3 linked regions of the Stegostoma tigrinum genome follow. The protein of the gene in region 2 interacts with the protein of the main gene of each other region in a biochemical or structural test. Links are inferred from orthologs where the notes say so. Each region holds a gene or a part of one and is shown on either strand. Other genes may lie near its edges. The genes, in order: ccna2, skp2 and ccne1.

What was found.
Region 1: the proteins of skp2 (region 2) and ccna2 are reported together in a solved structure, tested with the Homo sapiens proteins (2 studies listed by BioGRID, with this or other methods). The link is inferred for Stegostoma tigrinum from reciprocal best matches to the Homo sapiens genes SKP2 and CCNA2.
Region 3: the proteins of skp2 (region 2) and ccne1 form a complex in vitro, tested with the Homo sapiens proteins (2 studies listed by BioGRID, with this or other methods). The link is inferred for Stegostoma tigrinum from reciprocal best matches to the Homo sapiens genes SKP2 and CCNE1.

The regions. Positions count from the first base shown.
Region 1 is NC_081354.1:36,737,124-36,745,099, reverse strand, and holds the start of ccna2 (cyclin-A2), read right to left. Parts: upstream 3,084-7,976; 5' UTR 2,939-3,083; intron 2,785-2,938; 5' UTR 2,778-2,784; coding exon 2,574-2,777; intron 1-2,573. UniProt on the Homo sapiens protein: Cyclin which controls both the G1/S and the G2/M transition phases of the cell cycle. Functions through the formation of specific serine/threonine protein kinase holoenzyme complexes with the cyclin-dependent protein kinases CDK1 or CDK2.
Region 2 is NC_081356.1:138,440,679-138,447,973, forward strand, and holds the start of skp2 (S-phase kinase-associated protein 2), read right to left. Parts: upstream 3,006-7,295; 5' UTR 2,999-3,005; coding exon 2,898-2,998; intron 2,822-2,897; coding exon 2,583-2,821; intron 1-2,582. Other genes in the region: G-protein coupled receptor-associated protein LMBRD2B, read left to right, coding at 3,934-4,107, 5,576-5,776, 5,909-6,012, 6,265-6,378. UniProt on the Homo sapiens protein: Substrate recognition component of a SCF (SKP1-CUL1-F-box protein) E3 ubiquitin-protein ligase complex which mediates the ubiquitination and subsequent proteasomal degradation of target proteins involved in cell cycle progression, signal transduction and transcription.
Region 3 is NC_081369.1:32,653,060-32,660,014, reverse strand, and holds the start of ccne1 (G1/S-specific cyclin-E1), read right to left. Parts: upstream 3,044-6,955; 5' UTR 2,397-3,043; coding exon of another isoform or gene 2,371-2,396; 5' UTR 2,283-2,370; coding exon 2,157-2,282; intron 2,077-2,156; coding exon 2,017-2,076; intron 596-2,016; coding exon 429-595; intron 320-428; coding exon 184-319; intron 1-183. UniProt on the Homo sapiens protein: Essential for the control of the cell cycle at the G1/S (start) transition.

The sequences.
Region 1 (7,976 bases), on a different chromosome or scaffold from region 2:
TTACAGGAAAGATAGGGATGCGTTGGAAAAAGTGCAGAGGAGATTTACCAGGATGTTGCCCTGAATGGAGGGAAGGTCTTACGAAGAAAAGTTGAGACAGCTAGGACTTCTCTTTAGAATGACGAAGGATGACAGGTGACTTGATAGAGGTGTACAAAATGATCAGAGGTATAGATCAAGTAGATAGCTAGAGACTTTCCCACCCCCACCCCCCCAGGGTAAAGGTAGCTTTTACAAGGGGACATAGTTTAAAAATGAGTGGAGGTAGATATAGGGGAGATGTCGAGGTAGGTTCTTTACAGAGTGGTAGGGGTTAGGAATGCATTGCTGGAGAGGGTAGTGGAGTCGGCCACATTAGCGGCATTTAAGTGGCTCATAAATAGGCATATGAATGCTAGTGTAAAGGTAGGGGTGGAGATTAGAAAGACCTTAGGATTAGGGTAAAGTTCAGCACAACATCATGGGCCGAAGGGCCTGTACTGTTCAGTGTTCGAAGTACGCAAAGGATTTTTTTGGGGGGGTGTGAGGGGGGGGTGGGTGGATGGATGGAATATGCTTTCATATGAAAACCAAAAGATTTCAATGAGAGATGGGCACATAGGGTATCCATTGCAAGTCTACCTATGGGTATAGCAGTTGTTAATTTCCAAGGCTACACAGTTGCTCAGGTCATGATCAGAGCAGACAGTTTCAGAAAATGGCAGCATGTCTAGATGGCATGATAATGAAGAACAAGTTATCCCATTATTTTCCATGATAATGACTTGACCTGAGATGATGTGCCAACCAATCAGCATATTTTCTTTTTAATAATTACAGCATACATTATTGCTCCCTCTGAAATTTGATGTTCCTTGTGTAGGGCAAAGACACTTCAATAGCATGTCTCTTTTTCAAAGCTTGATTTTTAAAAATAAGAAATAACATTACATTATTTTAAGAGAAGCAATCACAAACCAGATCTTTTCTTGAACTCAACTTTGTCATGAAAAAGACTCTGTTCCAAATGCAGTAGCACATTCTTACTTTTTAAGATGGAATTGTGTCTTTTAAGTAGTATGTTTTTAAAAAGAAAAATTCAGTAGCTCTAGAATTGAAGAACGGACTCAGAAGCAGGAGGGGGAAATGTAATTTTCTACTTGAAAAACAAAAAGGAAGAGACTGAAAACCAAACGAGGGCAGATTCAGTTCAATTGTGATATTCACTTCACCAAAATACTTCCAACACCTCTAGGTTTATTTGGGTGGAAGTGCCAAATGATTCTATCCACAAAAATTGTGGCAGATGTTCAGCTTCTGGGTGAAGCACAGAATCACCTACGACTAATGATCCAAGACTGCAGAAACATGCAAATTTAACTCAGGTGCAGATGTGGAGAAAACAAGAGTATCTCAGCTCAGTTATTTGATTATTTCCCTATTGGCATACAACACCTTGGTAGACATAAAGTGTTCAACTCCCAAGGATTCCAGTCAGGTCAAAGGCTTATATAACTCTACAGAAAGTCTGTTTATTGGTAACCAAGATCAGTCAACTATTCCTTTTGACTGAATTATTGTCACGAGTACTGAAGTGCAGTGAAAAGCTTTGTTTGCAATCGGTACAAGAAAATCACAGTAAAGTAAGGATGTACAGATCAGAGGTTGTACAAAGATGCAGGTTACATTACAAAGGGCACGCGCTAGGCGAAATCAACGTTAGCAAGATGAGCATTATTTGAGGCTAGAGTGTGTCCATTTCAGTCTACTAACTGCCGGGAAGAAGCTGTTTATGATCCTGAACTTTGAACAAGCACCATAAATTCATGAAGTATGTCCCATTTGAAAAAAGTTGTTATAGTGACGTTAATTAAAAAGTAACCTATCTATTTAAAATACTACTCAAGCCGTATGGAATCATACAGTTCTCGATTTTCCAATAAACTGCCTATTTTATCGTTAGCATGCTCATTGCAGTGGCATCACTGACGATTTAGAGTATAGTTGCGATTCACAAATTCACTCTTTCCGGAGTCCCGGAATCGGGGGAAACCAGGCTAAAATCCAGTAGATGATTTCCTCAATATTTGCTAGGCCGGCGGAGAAGAGAAGAACTCAATGATTTCAATTTAAACCTACACGCGTAAAATGTGAAGTTCTTCCGCAATCCAATTATGAGAAACTATTAGGACACCCTAGCAACAAGGTCGTTTTGGCTTGCGGGCTGATATAGAGTTAAAGAGTGTGGAGCACTTTTAATGCTTACGTGTAAGCGTTCAATAAAGTGCTGCATCACACAAGTAACTATTGCTATCAATATGCGAGTACCACTATTTTTCGAACGTCAACCAGCGTAAAAGCTTTAAATTGCAACGTGGAGGACAATCCAGATATTTGTGAGCCGTTGCAAAACGGAAACTGAATGGTGTTGGAGCAATTTGAATTTAACGCTAATCCTCATCGCCGAGAAACCGTCGGATGATATATATTAACCAGTCGTGGCATTCGCGTACTCAGAGTCCGTACTGGAGACCACCGCCGACAGATTGTACCTGCACCGATCATCCAGTGACAGAACCTGCCTCTTTACTTACGGGTTTGCGATGGGGCTGTAAAGCTTGATTACTCTGCAACACTCCGAGCACCTTCCTGCCACCGACAGGGGTAGGAACGGCGACTCTGCCCGCATTTCGCTCCCGGCCTCCCGGTTCCTGACCCTGCCAGCTGACGGCTTTCACCGCCTGGGGTAGCACGTTTTCCCAGTCCCTGGAGACAGCGTCGCGAGAAGCCCGATACATTCTCGAACTCCGGGATTTTTAAAAAAAAATTAAAAATCTTACTTTAAAAAAACTGTACACGTTTCCTTTGAAACAAAAAACACGGGCAAAATACACCGTCGAGTTAAAATCGGAATGAGACCGGGCTGGCGGCTCGGAGCTGTGTCCAGGCTCCCCGTTACCTGTGAAAGGGAGCGACCCCAGCTCGAGCGCCACCGGCCGGGTCCCGCTCTATAATCGGTCCTCCACCTAACGCCAGACTGCGTGGATTGATAGACAATTGTCCTCCCCTCCCCCCAACCCCCGTGCGGCCTGGGACAGTTTGTTCAATTGCTCTTTTCAGGTTCCTCCTCCCCCTGATCAGCTCAGACGTCACCACCGGCAACTGATAAAACCCCATTCAGTTCAAGTGTCCCGCGTCTATTGAAACCAGCCAATGGGTGCTTGATGTGCGGACGCACGTCGGTTCCGTTTCAGATTTGAATTTTTTTCCCCTGCCTCTTATTATTCGCGCGGTCGCGGTTGTCAATCAAAGGAAGAAGAAAATGGGCGGAAGCTGCAAGATGGGAAAGAATTGCTTGGGGTGCAAACAGCGAGTGAGTGCCTTCAGGGAAGTAGAAAAAAATGCAACATGTTAACATTAGTGCAAACATACCATTAGCAAAACGGAAACAGTTTACATTTTGTTAGCCTTTGTGCTCCAAAGATGCTGCATGGCCTACTGTGTTCATCCAGCTACACACTTTGTTATCTCGGATTCTCCAACATCTGCAGTTCCCATTATCTCTGATACAGTTTACATTTACATGTGTTGCACTGTCACTTGCACCCCCATCCATTTATTTTTCTATTGTCTTCAAAATGTTGATTCACAGTGTAGTAGAGTTAGAAAAATGGCTTTTTGTGCAGTTTAGTGCATATCATTCTTCACTTTTGAGCCTGTAAAGAAATTGGAGCTCTGCCATTTAATAATACCATGGTTGATCTGTTTGTGCTTCAAATCTACACTTTCATCTGTCCCCAGTAACCTTTGATTTTCTCTACTTAACAAAAATCTATCTCTATTAAAAATATTCAATGACCCCCATTTCCACTGCCTTCTGAGGCAAGGTTCCAACCTGCTGGAACAAAAGTCACCTTATCTGTTCCAAAAAAGATGATTTCTAATTTTAAAACTTTTTTATTATCCTGAGGAGTAGCATTTTTGCACTACCACAGATCATGTTAAGTGTTTACAGCCAGGGTTGAGACTACTCAACAATCACCAGGCATAAAACATTAAAACATATTATTGTAAGTAGTTGCAGAAAATTCAGATGGACCTTGAAAACAATTTTTTTTTTCATTTAATACTTCTGTTTATGGATTCTACAGATATTGGAGATGGGAGTAAAATTGGATGTTTGGCAATGGAACTATCAGTTCTGAGGAAGAGTCGCTGGACCTGAAACATTAACTCTGTTTTCTCCTTCACAGATGCTGCCAGACCTGCTGAGCTTTTCCAGCAACTTTGTTTTGGTTCCTGATTTACAGCATCTGCAGTTCTTTTGGCTTTTATTTAGTTAAAAGAAAGGACTGATATTAAATGAAATATTCAGAAAACAGGAAGAAAGGGAGGTTGAACAATTTATTAATTAGATATAACAGAAACATTAGAAAACATTAACACATAGCAGTAAGACATGTAGGTTTTATGTTGATTGTCATAAAAGACAATAAAGAATCTATCATTGACCACCTAATGGTGGCAGGAAAGTGTACAGTGAAAGATGTAATAAGGCAGGGAAAATCCAAATTCCTTGAAATGAATTGCCAAAGAGTTATGTAAAGAGAAAGGAACAGGGATCCTGCAAAGGTGCTTTTTTGTGACTCAGTATGTGACAAGCATAAAATGATTTACTACAGAATGTAGTAATGGAGAAAAAAGCAGAAAATAAGAAAAGTCTAAGTATGAACTTATCTACAAAATAAGAACAATGATATAATATAGATTATGACAATAATTCAGATAGCCATAAATAGAACAAAGATGGGGAATTAGAAGAGAAACAGTATGGTGGCTCAGTGGTTAGCACTGCAGCATCACAGCGCCAGGGACCCAGGTTCGATTCCAGCCTCGGGTAACTGCCTGTGTGGAGTTTGCACGTTCTCCCTGTGTCTGCGTGGGTTTCCTCCGGGTGCTCCGGTTTCCTCCCACAGTCCAAAGATGTGCAGCCTAGGTGGATCGGCCATGCTAAATTGCCCGTAGTGTTCAGGGGTGTGTGGATTATAGGGGGTCTGGGTGGGATGCTCCAAGGAGCAGTGTGGACTTGTTGGGCTGAAGGGTCTGTTTCCACACTGTAGGGAATCTAATCTAATCTAAAAGAAACATTGATAGAACTCATGAAAGTAAAATGGGCTCATTAACTCTGTTTTTTCCTTCTCAGATGCTGCCAGACCTGCTGAACTTCTCCAGCAACTTTTTATTCCTGATTTACAGCACCCGCAGTTCTTTCAGTTTTTATTTAGTATGTTCAACAGTTTGGTCCAGATATCATAGAGAGGTGCAGGTTCATTAAGACCATAAGACAAAGGAGTGGAAGTAAGGCCATTCGGCCCATCGAGTCCACTCCGCCATTTAATCACGGCTAATGGGCATTTCACCTCCACTTACCTGCACTGTCCACGTAGCACTTAATTCCTTGCGAGATCAGGAATTTATGATTCTCTGCCTTGAAGACATTTAACGTCCCAGCCTCCACTGCGCTCCGTGGCAATGAATTCCACAGGCCCACCACTCTCTGGCTGAAGAAATGTCTCCTCATTTCTGTTCTAAATTGACCCCCTCTAATTCTAAGGCTGTGCCCACGGGTCCTAGTCTCCCCACCTAACGGAAAAGACTCCCCAGCGTCCACCCTTTCTAAGCCATGCATTATCTTAGAAGTTTCTATTAGATCTTCCCTCAACCTTCTAAACTCTAATGATTACAATCCCAGGACCCTCAGCCGTTCATCGTATGTTAGGCCTACCATTCCAGGGATTATCCATGTGAATCTCCACTGGACATACTCCAGTGCCAGTACGTCCTTCCTGAGGTGTGGGGCCCAAAATTGGATGCAGTATTCTAAATGGGGCCTAACTAGAGCTTTATGAAGTCTCAGAAGCGCTTTGCTGCTTTTATTTTCCAACCTTCTTGAGATAAGTGACAACATTACATTCTCTAATCTAATCATGGACTCAACCTGTAAGTTAACCTTTACAGAATCCTGGATCAACACTCCCAGATCCCTTTGTACTTTGGCTTTATGAATTTTCTCATGGTTTAGAAAATAGTCCATGCCTGTATTCTTTTTGCCAAAGTGCAAGACCTCGCATTTGCTCACGTTGAATTTCATCAGCCATTTCCTGGACCACTCTCCTAAACTTTCCAAATCTTTCTGCAGCCTCCCCACCTCCTGCCTGTACTACCTGCCTGTCCACCTAACTTCGTATCATTGTCAAACTTCACCGGAATGCCCCCAGTCCCTTCATCCAGATCATAAATATATAAAGTGAACAGCTGCAGCCCCAACACTAAACCCTGCGGGACACCACTTGTCACCAGTTGCCATTCTGCAAAAGAGCCTTTTATCCCAACTCTCTGCTTTCTGTCACACAGCTAATCCTCAATCCATGCCAGTAGCTCACCTTGAACACCATGGGCCTTCACCTTACTCAGCAGCATCCTGTAAGGCACCTTATCAAAGGCCTTTTGGAAGTCTAGATAAGTAACATCCACTGGGTTTCCCTGGTCTAACCTACTTGTTATCCCTTCAAAGAATTCTAACAGGTTTGTCAGGCACAACCTCCCCCTTACTAAATCCATGCTGACTTGTTCTAATCTGACCCTGCACTTCCAAGAATTTAGAAATCTCATCCTTAATGATGGATTCTAGAATTTTACCAACAACCGAGGTTAGGCTAATCGGCCTATAATTTTCTATCTTTTGTCTTGCTCCTTTCTTAAACAAGGATATTGCAACAGCGATTTTCCAATCATCTGGGACTTCTAACACCTCCGCTATTTCCTCAGCCACCTCCCTCAAAACTCTAGGATGTAGCCCGTTGGGGCCAGGAGACTTATCAATTTTTAGACCTCTTAGCTTTTCCAGCGCTTTCTTTTGTAATGCCTACCGTACTCAACTCTGCCCCCGACTCTCCCTAATTGTTGGCATACTACTCATGTTTGCCACTGTGAAGACTGACACAAAGTACTTAAGTTCTTCAGCTATTTCCTTATCTCCCATCACTAGCCTTCCAGCATCAATTTGGAGGGACCCAATGTCTACTTTTGCCTCTTGTTTGTTTCTTATGTATTGAAAGAAACTTTTAATATCATTTCTAATATTACTGGCTAGCCTACCTTCATTATGGGATGGTGTGACCAACAATACACATTGTAAGGTAAGATAAATGCAAAGGATTTTTGGAAACTGATCCTATTCTATTCTTAACTACCTGTGAGGATGAGGGTGAAGAGCATAGTTGTACTGTACAACCTCAACATAATATCCCAACTCCTATACTCATAGGCCTGAGCAATAAAGGCAAGCACGGTAAACACCTTCCTAATCACCCTAACTTTGTGATGCAAACTTCAAAGAATTATGTACCTGAATGCATAGGTCTCTGTCCTACACATTACCTAAGGTCCAACTTTTACTGGTTAATTCTTGCCTTTATTTGTTTTACCAAAATGCAGTACCTCACATTTATCCAAATTAAACTGCTACTCTTCAGCCGATTGACCCAATTGATCAAGATCTCTTTGTAATTTTAGATAACCTTCTTCACTGTCCACTATACTGCAAACTAAATAAACCAGGTTAGAAAGTTTATAAGAAAGAAAGGAAAATGGTAAAGGCAGAACAGTGCTTTTGGTGATTAAGGAAAAAAATCACTTCAATAAGAATGGATAGAACATTGGAGACTTTATGGGTAGAATTATGAAAATATTTAAGTCTGTAGTGGAAGTTGTGTAGATACCTTAATAGCAGCTGTAAAATGGTAATTGCACAAATGTAGATAAGACATGCATGCAGTCAAGACAGATTGATTTTAATAAGCCAATTTAATTTTCATATAGCATGAGACATGCAGTCTTGCAAGTCTCAGAAGGATGAATTTCTTGACAGTTTTGGGATAATTTTCTGTGATAACATAACCAGTGAGGGGGTAGACCATTTTAGGTCCAGTAATGCA
Region 2 (7,295 bases):
AGCCTGCTTCGTGGAGTGCCACACTTCCAGGAATTCTCATGTTTGTCTCTGCCTAGCCTGTCCCAGGACCTTGGTGTTGTCCAGTTGAAGTTGTGGTTTAAAATCCAGGCAGAAAGACACACTGACGTTTCATAGCAGACTGCACTGAGGATGTTACCCAGCATGGTAACGAAACGTCTGTGGAACAACAAACCAGCTCGACGAGCCAAACACCCACAACCTGAGCTACAAATCTACTCCAAAACCTAAGATCCCTCCTTATGCAGCTGGGCCGCCCACTTTGCCCTTGCTGTGTTCCATAGTGGAACCCACGCTGTCATTGTTTTCTAACCCAGAAAAGCAGTCAACAAATAGGATGCCCTCTGGGGTTTTCCAGTCTGCCTGCCTTGCCTCACTTCTCTGCCCAAGTCTCTACTCCCCCTCCCAATTTGTCTAATAATTCAACAAACATATGAACACTAAATTTTATTTGAGAAAGGAATCTAATATTGACAAGCAAATAGTGGTCATTAACTGAAGATTCACCTGCATTTCCATAAAGAGACCAAATTTATAATTGTTGGATTAGGAACTGCATGTTTGTTATTTACAACCCTGTCTATAAAAATAAATATGTTTTAATTCAGAAATCATAACTGAAACCAAAGAGGGACAACAAATAGAAAACAAACGGAAAAAACAAATATGAGAATAGATATGTAAGAGATTACTGAAAACAAACATTTACCCTTCTCAGGTTGCGACTGGTGACAGTATAATGGGAAAGCAAAATTAATTTCAGTTGCAACTTTCCTTTTGCAAAACCGTATTTGTCTCATCACACTGCACTTCTAAATAAAATTTCGCTCAGGAGATTCCAACATTCTCCAATCATGGTCAGAGTATCTACTATCTCAGCAGCATTGTCCTTCTCAGAATCTGTGAAAGTAAGCCATCGGGTCGTGAGGATTTTAAAACATTTGTTCATGGAATGTGGATGCCATTGGCAAGGGAGATGGTTGGTGTCTGCCCTATATTGCCCTGAAACTGAGAGACTCATTTAGCCATTTCAGAAGGCAGTTAAGAGTCAAACCGTTGCTGTGGGTTTGCAGACCAGACAATTTCATTCACTAAATCCTTTCGGGGAAGAAGATTTTCATTCTCACAGAATTGCCATCATTATTGAGGGCGTATTTCAGTTCCACATTTAGTAATTGGATTGAAATTGCAGCAGTGGCCGTGGTAGGATTTGAAGTGTCTTCAAATCACGACCTGGGCTCTTGGATTAATTGTCCAGTGAACACCACTCCCTGAAAATTTCTCTGCCAGCCACTCACCACCCTGACATGGAAATATATCACCATTCTTAGATCAAAATCTGGAATTCCCTCCCACAGGGCATTGTGGGTCAACCAACAGCACACGGACTGCAGCGATTTAAGAAGCCAGCTCACCACACATTCTCAGGGCGGCAACACATTCTCAGGGCGGCAAGTGGGGACAGGAGATAAATAGCGAGTTTTGAGAAGATTTGTAGCTCAGGTTGAGGTTCTGGATGTGATTTTGCTCACTGAGCTGGAAGGTTAGTTTTCAGACGTTTCGTCACCATTCTAGGTAACATCATCAGTGAGCCTCCGGTGAAGCGCTGGTGTTATGGTGTTATGAAATAGAAAGTGGGACATAACACCAGCGCTTCGTCGGAGGCTCACTGATGATGTTACCTAGAATGGTGACGAAACGTCTGAAAACTAACCTTCCAGCTCAGTGAGCAAACTCACATCCACAGGTGATAAATGCTGGCCCAGACAGCAACATCCACATCCCATGAATGAATAAAACAAAACATTACCACTTCCAACAATCTCTCTCGTAATAATATAACTGGTTTCTAGGCTAGATTATGTGATTTTCAAAATGGAATTCAGTGGCACTGTGATCACTATCTCCAAGTAGACCAATTACAATTATATTACTGTTTAAACGTGCCTGATTACAGAATATTTGATGCAAAATAACTTTGTCTCTAGTTGATTCCAGTATGTTTTGCTTCAGGAAATGGTCATGAAAGGTTTCTACAAATTTATCTTCTGGGCTATCTTTGCTAATCTCAGTTTGTATAAAGATTAGAGTATGCTACACAATGATTACACACGTTATTTGTTTTGACAAATGCTGTTTATTTATTCCAATTTCAACAATTTCATTCTGGACTTGAAACCCTGGCACTGTTTCTTTCTCCAGATTCTGCCAGACTTAATAGGTTTCTCCAATACTTTGTCTTTGTTTCAGGCACGATGGATTAACAATGAACAACTCCCACTAGATCATCAGATACCTTCAAGATGTTTGTCTACAGATTTAAGAGTGCTGGGGGGTGGGGACAGCGAGGTCAGAATGCTCTGAAGAAAAACAGCTTTGTACCCTGCATCCCACTTGGTTTGACAAAGACACGACACAGAGATAACACGGTGTGGAGCTGGATAAACACAGCAGGCCGAGCAGCATCTCAGGAGCACAAGCCCCACACACCGTGTTATCTCGGATTCTCCAGCATCTGCAGTTCCCCATTACCTCCGACACATTCACAACCAGCTGCTGTGTACCTGATGGAGAATGGGCACTCTTCCGAAACCTCTTGGAGACCACCTGGTTCTCCTTCCCCCGGCAGCTCCTGGGACGTTTTGGTGGAGCAGCTCGATCTGAAGGCTCCGCTGCTCTGTTTGTTTTCTCCTCGATCAGGCGGACCCCCATCACCGTCATTAACGAGCGGGTCTCAGCGAGGTCCCAGCTCCACGGGACTGTGCTTGGGCCGCAGCTCGATGGTGTCACCTCCTGCAACACACTGAGGGAGACGATCGGTCACTATCCGACCCCAAACACTGCCCGGACACAGAGCTCCGGTCAATCCTTACACTCACCGTGTATCCTTCCCGGGCTCAGGCCCACCCTCCGAGCCGATCCGGGCCCGGGCCCTCTCCCTCTCCCTCTCCCTCGCCCCCTTCCACCTCCCCGTATCCATCTCTCCCCCTTGCTTTTCCGGCGGGAAGTTCGAACTCCGCGCGCTAACCGGATGCCGGGTTTGATTGGCTGTCTTGGGAAGGGGGCGTGGCCACGTCGTTGGCCGCCACCGGCGGGCGTTCTGGGGCTTGTAGGAGGTTCCAGCTTGCGGGACACTACATTACCCAAGAGGCGCCGCGTCGGAAATGACGCGAACGACGTGTCAGAGGTCATCTTCAACCGGAAACAACCGAAGAGAGAAACAGTGAGAGATTGGTTGGGGGGGGCGGTAGTGAGGGAGGAGGGGAGTGAGGAGGGGAAGGGGGGGGGAGAGAGAGGGTTGGAGGGATAGGAAGAGGCAATAACAATGGAGACGGAGACGGAGAGGGAGGGCGGTCGAGGAAAACAACAACATCTCCCTCCCCCTTTCACCTCACCCTCTGGCCCGTCCCCTGCTCTCCCCCCACTACTCCCACACCCCTCCCCCACCTCCCCCACCTCCCCTTCCCCCCACTTTCCCTGGCCCCTCCTTCCGCTCACCCCGTCTCCCCCTCCCCTGCTCTCTCCCCCCCCACTCCCCCTGCACCCCATTTTCCCTCTGTCCTTCCCTCCCCTTTCCACCTCCCCCTTTCCCTCTCTCCATACCACCTTCTTTGACAATCCAAGATAATAAAGTGTGGAGCTGGATGAACACAGCAGGCCCAGCAGCATCTCAGGAGCACAAAAGCTGACGTTTCGGGCCTGGACGCTTTGTGCTCCTGAGATGCTGCTTGGCCTGCTGTGTTCATCCAGCCTCACACTTTATTATCTCTGATTCTCCAGCATCTGCAGTTCCCATTATCTCTGATACTTTCTTTGACATTCAGTTCTTTTTCTTCTCCCCATACAGGGTTATTCAGTGCCTTCTTGGGCAGCGGTGCCTCCCAAAGCCCCCATTCTCTTATTCTCCAACTGACCATGAGTGGGGCAGCATTGGGAATCGATATTGTGGTGGTGTTCTTCCTGGCTCTGCTGGTTCTCTATCGATATGCCGACTTCAGGAAGCAGCACAAGCTGGTGATTGTAGCCACACTGTTAGCCTGGTATCTCTGCTTCCTCATTGTCATCATCCTGCCTCTGGATGTCACCACGGTAACAACACACTAATCTTTTTACCCCACAGTGCCTCTTGTATGTTCTGTTTATCTTTCGTTGCACCATGTCCAAAACACCTGGCAACTACAGTTAGACTAGCCACATGTGAATGATTTGCTGAGGTGCCCAGTCTGCACAAATCAATTGCATAGGCAGTCAGTGCCTGAAGATGTTAAGTTGCCAAGATAAGATCAGATCAGATGCATCAAAGGACGCTGGTAGAAGGTGAGAGTGGAAATTGCAAAGATACGGGGCTGATGTCAGTGAGCTGGTGGGCTGCAAATTTTTGCTCAAAATAAAAACGCAAGTACAGACCAGTTAGTTCAGCCTTGATCCTTATTTAGGATAAAATTAGCAGTCATGACTGATCATCCCTCTCAGTACCCCATTCCCTCTGCCCCTGTATCCTTGAAAAGTATCAACCACTTTCTGTGGCAGAGAATTCTACTGGCTCCCCACTGTCTCGGTAAAGATGTTGCTCCTCATCTAAGTCCTAAACGGTCAGCTTTGTATTATTCGACTTATCCTGTTTTTGGACTCTGCTGTCAACAAGAAAATCCTTCCAGTGTTTACTGGAATCCACATTATAGGCGGGATGTGATAGCAGCAGAGAGGATCCAGAGGAAATTGATCAGGATGCTTGCCCCGACTGGAAAGTTTCAGAGATGAAGAGACATTGGACCAACTGGAGACAGTAAGAACTGCTGATGCTGGCGTCAGAGATACAGTGTGGAGCTGGAGGAACACAGCAGGCCAGGCAGCATCTTTCTGAAAGAAGGGTCCTGAACTGAAATATCATCTCTTAACTCCTCTGATCTGCCTGGTCTGTTGTGTTCCTCCAGCTCCACACTGTGTCATCTTGGACAGACTGGAGTTGTTTTCCTCGGAGCAGAGGAGACTGGCGAGTTCAGATTGAGATGTATATGATCTTGAGGGACGTAAGATACGGTAGAAAGGAAGAAACCTTCCCTCTGGTTGATATGATTGACTGGGGGCATTGATTTATGGAGTCATACATAAACAGACTCTTTGGTCCAGTTCATCTGTGCCGACCAGACATCCCATTCTGACGTAGTCCCATTTGTCAGCATTTGGCCCATGTCCCTCTAATGCCTTTTAAATATTGTAATTGTACCAGCCTCGTCCACTTCCTCTGGCAGCTCTTTCCATACACACACCACCCTCTGCATGAAAAAGCTATCCCTCAGGCCCTTTTTAAATCTTTCTCCTCTCACCTTAAACCTATGTCTTCTAGTTTGAACCACCCACTTCCCTGGGGGTAAAAACCTTGGCTATTCACTCTGTTCATGCCCCTCATGATTTACAAACCTCTATCATGTCATCCCTCAGCCCCCGATGCTGCGGAGAAAAAAGCCCCAGCCTATTCAGCCTCTCCCTATAACTTGAACCCTCCAGTCCCAGCAACAGACGTGTAAATCTTCTGTACTCAACACCCTTCCTTTAGAAGGACAACCAGAATTGTATGCAGTGTTCTGAACGTGGCCTCACTAATGCCCTACATCGTGCAACATTGACATCCCAACTCCAATACTCAAATGGTGTGACCAATGAACGCAAGTGTGTCAGATGTCTCCTTCACCAACAACAACACCATCAGAAGTTGCTGGAAAAGTTCAGCAGGTCTGGGAGCATCTGTGAAGAAAAAGTTAGTGTTAACGTTTCTGGTCCAGTGACCTTTCCTCAGTCTCCTTCACTGTTTATTTGGCCTATTTTTCTTTACTGCCTGTTTTGGGAGTATTTTGATTGAGTGGAGTTTAACTGATGCTTTCTGTTTCAGACCATTTACAGACAGTGTGAAGTTGATAGCTCCAAGATATCACCCAGCAGCGCCCCAAACTCCAGTAAGGTGTTCACAGCCAACAGGACTAACTCCTCCCACGGGTAAGACACCCATAGCCAGTCCATTCAAAACTAATTCACCCTCCCCCATTTCTGACTCCTCCCCTCCTCCACCACCGACCTGCCCCCTCCCTTCCCAGCCACAGATGCCCCCTCATTACTCCTCTCGGCCCCCAACATGGACACCTCTCCGAGGTGCCGACAACTCTTCTTTCCTGTGCACTGCCTGCCTCTCCAGCTTGTGCTGTCATTACTGACCTTCACACTCTGAGGTTCTCATTCTCTTCTCCCTAGTGTGCCGGATATCCCAGTGCTGCAACAATGTTTCAAGCCTTGGAGTTACATCCCGGATGGAATTCTGCCTGTATTCTGGAGAGTTGTCTACTGGACATCACAGTTTTTGACCTGGTAAATGACACAGGAAGCCTGTGTTGGATTCAGCATTTATTTCCCGTCCTTAGTTGCTCTGGAGAAGATGGTGTGGTCTGTTCTTGAACCCCTGTGGTCACCTGTTGGTGAATTAGAGCTCCTCGTGATAGTTTATCGACTGAACTGTCACAAAACTCTCATCATTCCCAGCACTGCGTTTGGCCTGTTATTGTTTACACAGTTATTTAATCAATTTACCTCAGTCAGTGCTCTAACCTCTTGATGTACTGACGCTGCCTCTGGACAAAGTGCCCCAGTTTACATCCTGAATGCCTGATCCAAGCGGATGAGTAATTGTAAGAAATATCCACACTGACAGGTGCACTAGGTTGACCCAAAATGCTGTTAGGGAGGGAATTCCAGAATTTTGACCCATTAACAGTGATGATATATTTCCAAGATAGAATAGTGAGGGGCTCGGTGGGGAACTTGGAGGGGATGGTGTTCCCATGTATCTGCTGCCCTTGCCCTTCCAGATGGAAGTGGTCGTGGGTTTGGAAGGTGCTGCCTGAGGATCTTCGGTGAATTTCTGCAGTGCATCCTGTATATAGTACACTCTACTGCTACTGAGCATCGGTGGTGTTGGATGCTTGTGGATGTGCTGCTTTGTCCTGGAAGAGCTTAGCTAGGAGAACAGCAAGTTCTGGAGCAGAGGTTTAAATGTAAAGTCACTGTTTATTGCTGGCATCAGTCATTTAATGAACTGGGACACACACCATTCACTAGCTCGTATCCTTTGATGCACCCTCGTCTGCACCCTGTGTGCTGTTACAGGTGAAATTGGCAGCTCGCCACAACCCCCTCCAGACCAGTTAGGTATAGGAAGCAGATGTTGGCCTAGCCAGAGACATCCACATGCTCTGAAGCATCCATCAAGCTAGCATTCTCCTGCGTAG
Region 3 (6,955 bases), on a different chromosome or scaffold from region 2:
AACATCCAGCAGTTTTCAGAGTAACTGGAGACAATAAGTGGGATCTTGTTCTCATCCAAAAAAGGATTTGTTAACATTTGAAGAGTACTTTTTGGGGACTATTTCCAATATTGGTTTAAATTTTAAAAAAAACCACATTATCCACACAGAAGTTTGAATGAGTACTCGTTACAAAGTCCTTACCTCCATTAACCAGTCAAGAAGAATAGCTCTCATCTTAGGTTGCAAGAGTGGATGCTTTTGGAAAACATCTTTGTCTCTCAAGTAAGCCTGCTCCTTCTTCAGAAGGATATTCCATACTTCTTCATGATTTCCCCAGCTATTTGTATTTAAGAAAATAATGTCACCATAATTGACCTATGCAAAGCTGTCTTCTTGCATTATGAAATATGGCTAAGACAGTGCAAGTTTAGTGTATAAATACTTACCACAATGCTGGTAATGGTGAAGCTCTAGTTGGAGTGGCTAAAACATTTTTGAGCCTGTACTGCACACAGCTAGTAGAATTTGATGTAACCATGTCATCTAGATTTGTGCATGATGTTGCATGTAGTCTGTATGGACTCATACAGTTGGCTACAGTAGTCCAGCAATCCTGCAATTAGTCAATTTTGCAAACAAACTAATCATTAGAATAGTTGTCAATTTTCAGACTGAATTCAGCTTAACAGTGGCAAAAAAACATCACTAGTCCAAAAGTCTGAACTGGCTAATCCCTCTCAATTAACATTCCATGCTGCTATTCCAATACTGTCACTTTACCCCAATTCACTAGAATCACTTGATTAGCTGGTAATGTTAGAACCATGCTTGACTATCTTTCATTAAAGCTAGAGAAGGAATAAAAAAACCAACAACTTGGCAGAATTACTCCAATTCACCTAGAACTGTGAGGTAGCAGGATCGGAGCCCACATTCTCCACCCTTTGGGCCAGCGCAGAGACTTAGTAGTTAGCACTGCTGCCTCAGTGCCAGGGACCCAGGTTCACTTCCAGCCTCGGGTCTGTCTGTGTGGAGTTTGTACATTCTCCCAGTGTCTGCACGGGTTTGCTTTGAGTGCTCCAGTTTCCTCCTGAAGTCCAGAGATGTGCAGGGTAGGTGGATTGGCCGTAATAAATTCATAGTGCCCAGGGATGTTAGGCACGGGAAATGGGTCTGACTGTTGTGCTCTTCAGGAGGGGCAGACTGGACCTGTTGGGCCAAATGGCTTGTTTCCACACTGTAGGGATGCTACAAGATGTTCCTTCAATTAAGTTGGTTAAATGGTAGGACAGGATCAGTGGCAACTCAAACATGGGCTGTTCTGGTAAAGGGACAGTGTGAATAGCATTGTACAAAAGGAGCCATAAAGTTGGATTAGCCATCACCTTGTTGAATAGCAGAGCAGGCTCGAAGGACTGAACAACCTACTCCTGTTGCTATTTCTTACACTTAGTTCTTGCATCATACTTGTGAGTTCCCTGAGTGAAGTTTTTAAATTGTGCAATTTTGAGCTGATTTTCCAGTGTTAGATTTACCCAGATCCAAAGTATTGAGATAAAACTATTAAAAAGTTACAACCAAAATTTCTGCCCAGGTGCCCTACATCCCAGCCTACCTGCTTCACAAAACCTTACTGCAAGATCTATTGGTATTGCCACACTAGAATTCTAGCATTGCTAGATACTCTTGGCTAGTTTTGAAAGATATTAAACCCCAGATTTTATTAAAATATTTGGGTCAAGGGGAAAAAAGCACTCTAGAAACCACCACAGTGGTTTAATTTTAATACTCAGTTATTGGATAATTTGCTTACTGTGAAGCTAATCAAGTGCTCCTGAGAAACCAAAACATGTTCAAGACGACCAAGGCCTGGATTATATGCCTAAACAATGTACAACACTGCTATTCAGTTAGTGGCAACATGTTGACCAGAATCGAAATAGCTCAAGATTAAGAGGTTGGCTAAACAAACAATCATCTACGCATAGCAAAAGTCATAGTTAAATAAAACCTGCAGACCTCATATTCTATTACCTCCTTTTCGTATGGTTTCGTAGACTGCACTTCTGTAAGTTCATCCAAGTCTTGCAAACACTACGATCAGAAAAGACCGATTACCAAACTTAGAAAGCGTGCTAAAGCACAATGGCATATTCATGTGCGGTTAAACTTACAATGGCAACGTCGGCTTTTCGCTTTCGGGTATGCAGCACAATCCTGTTCGTTTCTTCAGTTTTCGTTGATTGGTCTACTAATTCACTGAAAAGAAATAATAGCTTAAAAAATGCACATTTGCTCATTATGGCAAAATGCCTTGTAGAGATTAGGCCTTGTAGAGACACCCACCGTGAATTTATAACTGGTAACACGGCACTGCTTTCAACTCACTTTAAAATGTACCTTTTTCTGGGCATCTTCAGTGTTGTTTGTGTGGTTTAAAGATCTCCTGTAATTCAGAAGGGAGAGGCTGCATGAAGTTACTGTCGCTTCTCGAGGTAGTGAGGTGGTTGCTGCTGCTTACTCACAGGAGTGGACCTCAGGTTTGGGCGCGGGATGGGGTGGGGGCCACGCTCCTCTGGCCCAGTCACATTACTGGTGTTGGGAAAAGAGGGGATGAGAGGGAGGGCACTCAGCCCCAAGCCGGCCTCTGATCTCAGCGCACAGCCGAAGATGGCCGAAGCCGGGACCCCGCGCTGCCTGCTGTTTAACCGGGAAGAATGTGGGTACGACCAGCCTGCGCTGATGGGGTGTCAGCTGGTGCTCACCACTAGGTGACCCTCGGTATCTGTGCCCCGTTTCTATGGTCTTATCGCCCCCTGTCTTCTTGCTCTGTAGCCTGCCGCTGATGCTTCCCTCCAGTTAGCCCTCAGCCGGCTCCCGCTCTTAGCCCAGCTCCGCTCCACAGTGCCGGCTAGTCTCTCTTCATCGCGCTTGCGCTGATCCCTTTAAATCGCTGGCGGGAGTCAAGCGCGCGTTCTCAGCCGGAGGAAGTTGTCACAGGCCACGCCCCTGTCCCCTTAGGCTCCGCCCCGCGCTCCTTAGCTCATGCTCCCTCCTTCACCCCTTGTGTCCGGCTTGTCCCACTCAAACAGACTCGCTGCCAAACCCCGCCCTTCCCAGGAACCCCACCCACCCAGAACGTCATGCGCCACATCACGCCACACTTCCCCTCTCCGACCCCGCCCACCAGTGCGAAATGGGTGGCGATAATGACGGTGAAGATTGGGGATGTGGTCAGTACGTGGGTCGAAGATAAACAAAATTCCCGGCCTTCAGCCTGGGGGCCTGGAGCCGTAGAGCCATGGAGCCTTAGGGCCAGGCTCATTCCCTTTCCCGACCTAGACTGAAGCTCCAAAAGCTTGTGTTTTCAAATAAACCTGATGATTTCTGACCTTGTCCACCCCACCCCAACATCGGCACCTCTACATCATGTGTGTCTTTGACTGTCAGTGAGAGAGGGTCACCAAGCAGCCTGCTGCTTTGAACCCTCGCTTAGATCTCAGAGGTGATGAGCTTGTAGCAGCTGTGAGACCGTGCAAGCTCATTGTGTTGTACTGGAGATGGTGCAGCTGCGGCCAATGCCAGGTGAGAGGTCAGTCCTGTCATTGATCGGGGGTGACAGTGACTGATACTCTCGTACAATATCTACCTCCTCTTTTCTAGGGGCTTCTCTCAGTGGGTTGTCAGTGTCTCAGATAACCAGGAAGGCCTGTGAGGAGGCTGGGGTTGTATGTATCTCTCAACTTTGCCTCCTATCACCCATTCCCCCAACTGGCTTCAGGTCTTCACTGTTTGTTGTCATTTTATTTATTTCCCTGGATTGTAGCCGCATCTGAAAACCAAATGATCCTTCTCACAATAGACTGGTATGTTCTTAAGAACCACTTTATGATATTGCAAACGCTTCACATATTTTGCTATCACCCTTAATTGCTGATCATTCCTTAAGTCACCAACTCCAATTAAGGAAAAAGAAAGGGGTAGTAGCTGTAACCTACAGACTTCCTGCTACAACAGTAATGTGTCAGAATGTTGTTTTGTTCAGAAATCAGGACAATAGAAGTGAAAGCGAAGACCTTTTTGTCGGAGACTTTAATTTCAGGGCTGTTAGGCAGAGCAAAGTGGCTTGAATTAAAGATAAATGATAAATATAGAAAGGGTATATATATATCTATGTACAAACTTATGAGGGATGGCATTTTGATGCAGTTGTAGTTATGGCAAAACTTTTAGTTTTTGCACTTGCACAGTTGGTGACAGAAACCCATTGCTGTTGGTGTCTCATCATTCCTGAGTACATCTGAATTGGCTTGAACCTGCACTTTTCATGTTACAACTGAGTCTGTAAAAAAAAACTTTGAACGTGTTAGAGTTGACTGAGATGAACAGAGTTTTAAACAGTGCTCAACCAACTTTCTGGGTTTTATCATTTATATTTGTGAAATGTCATTTTCATTCAATGACTTTAAAAGTCTACAGGCTTTTAAAGTACAATTTAAAAGAAACTTGTATTTCTTCCCCCACCTTGATCATGTATCATGTTTATTTTACTTTCGATGATTTAGTGAAACATAAGTGTTAAAACCTGCTTGTTATTTCCTGGTTTGCTGCCTATAAGAACTCTGCTTTGTGATTGGCTGCTTCATTTGCATGGTAACATCACTGTTGTTGAACCATTCTCGAAGCTGATTCCAAAATTAATTTAATGTCAATAAAGGTAAAATCAATTTCTTAAAGCTTGCTAGATCTTTATGGACAACTTTCATTCATGGCAGCAACAAGCATCATCATTTTGCCTCTCAATGCAAACTCTGGCAAAAAAAATTTTACAGTTAGACAATCATAGAATCCTACAGCACAAAGACAGGGCCTTTGTCCCAAATTGGACCATGCTGACCATGTTGATCCATGCTAACCCCATTGCCCTGCACTTGACCTATATCCTTCTAAACCTTTTCTATCCGTCTTTTTGTCCAAATGTTGTTGATGCACCCCTCCCCACCACTACTTCCGCAGCTCATTCCATATGCATACCATCCTGTCTAAAAAAGTTGCCCTCAGGTTCCCATGTATTCTTTCCCCTCTTACCTTAAACTGAGCCCTCTAGTCCTCGACTTCCCAAACCTGTTAAAAAGGCTGAATGCATTCACCCTATTCATGCCTTTCATGATCTTATGCACTTCTGTAAGATGCCCCCTCAGTCTCCTAAGCTTGAAAGAGAAAAGTCCTAGCTTGTCCATCCTCTCCCTATAAATCAGTCTTGGAGTCCTGGCAACATTCTTGTAAATTTCTTCTGCCCTCTTTCCATTTTAATAACATTCTTCCCACAACAAGGTGACTAAAACAGAACATATTATTCCAAGGGTAGCCTCACCAACGTCCCGTACAACTGCAACTAGCTGCCCAACTCCTATACTCAGTGCCCTGACTGGTGAAGGCCAGTGTTTCAAAAGAATTCTTCACTGCCCTGTCTACCTGTGACTCCACTTTCAGAGAACTGTGCACCTATATTTCAAGATCCCCTGTTTCACTACACTCATTAAGGCCCTTCCATTTGCCATGAAACTCTTACCTTGATTTGACTTTCCAAAATACAACACGTCACACTTATCTATATTAAACTCCGTTTGCTATTTCTCAGCCCACTTCCCCAACTGATCAAGATCCTGCTGCAATTTCAAATAACCTTCGTCACAGTCCACGATACTACCAATTTTAGTGTCATCTGCAGACTTACTAATCATGCTTTCTCATCCTCATTCTCATCCAAATCATTGACATAGATAACAAACAACAATGGGCCCAGCATAGACCCCTGAGGCACACCACTATTCACAGACCTCCAGTCTGACAAGCATCCTTCCACTATTACTCTCTGCTTCTTACCATCAAGCCAATTGTGTATCTAATCTGCCAGCTCTCCCTGGGTTCCATGCGATCTAACCATCTAACCAGCCTACAATGTGGAACCTTATCAAAGGCCTTACTGAAACCCATATAGTTTACATCTACCGACCTGCCCTCATCAACTTTCCTGGTCACTTCAAAGAATTCTAACAAATTTGTGAGGTATGATGTCCCATGCTCAAAACCATGCTGCTACTATTAATCAACCCTGCCTTTCCAAATGGATGTATACCCCTCAGAATACCACAGATGTTAAGCTTACTAGTCTATAATTCCCAGTTTGTTTTTGCAACTCTTCTTGAACAAGAGCAGAAGCTTCGCTATCCACCAGTCTTCTGGGTCGTCATCTATGGGTAACGATGATGCAAATATATCGGCCACGACCCTGCAGTTTCTTTCCTAGCTTCTTGCAAGGTTCTTGGATATACCTGGTTAGAAGCAGGAGACTTATCCATCCATGCATTCTAATACTTACAACACCACCTCCAGTGTGATATGCCCATATCCTGCAGTTCCACACATATATGTCCACTTTGGACATTGAAGGGTCCTATTGTTTCTCTAGTTATCCTTCTTCCTTTAATACTTAAAGATCCTCTTTGGATTCACCATTGTCTTCTCAGCCAAAACTGCCCTCCTGATTTCCTTGATAATGGGAACTGCAGATGCTGGAGAATCCAAGATAATAAAATGTGAGGCTGGATGAACACAGCAGGCCCAGCAGCATCTCAGGAGCACAAAAGCTGACATTTCGGGCCTAGACCGTTCATCAGAGAGGGGGTTGGGGTGAGGGTTCTGGAATAAATAGGGAGAGAGGGGGAGGCGGACCGAAGATGGAGAGAAAAGAAGATAGGTGGAGAGAGTATAGGTGGGGAGGTAGGGAAGGGATAGGTCAGTCCAGGGAAGACAGACAGGTCAAGGAGGTGGGATGAGGTTAGTAGGTAGGAGATGGAGGTGTGGCTTGGGGTGGGAGGAAGGGATGGGTGAGAGGAAGAACAGGTTAGGGAGGCAGAGACAGGTTGGACTGGTTTTGGGATGCAGTGGGTGGAGGGGAAGAGCTGGGCTG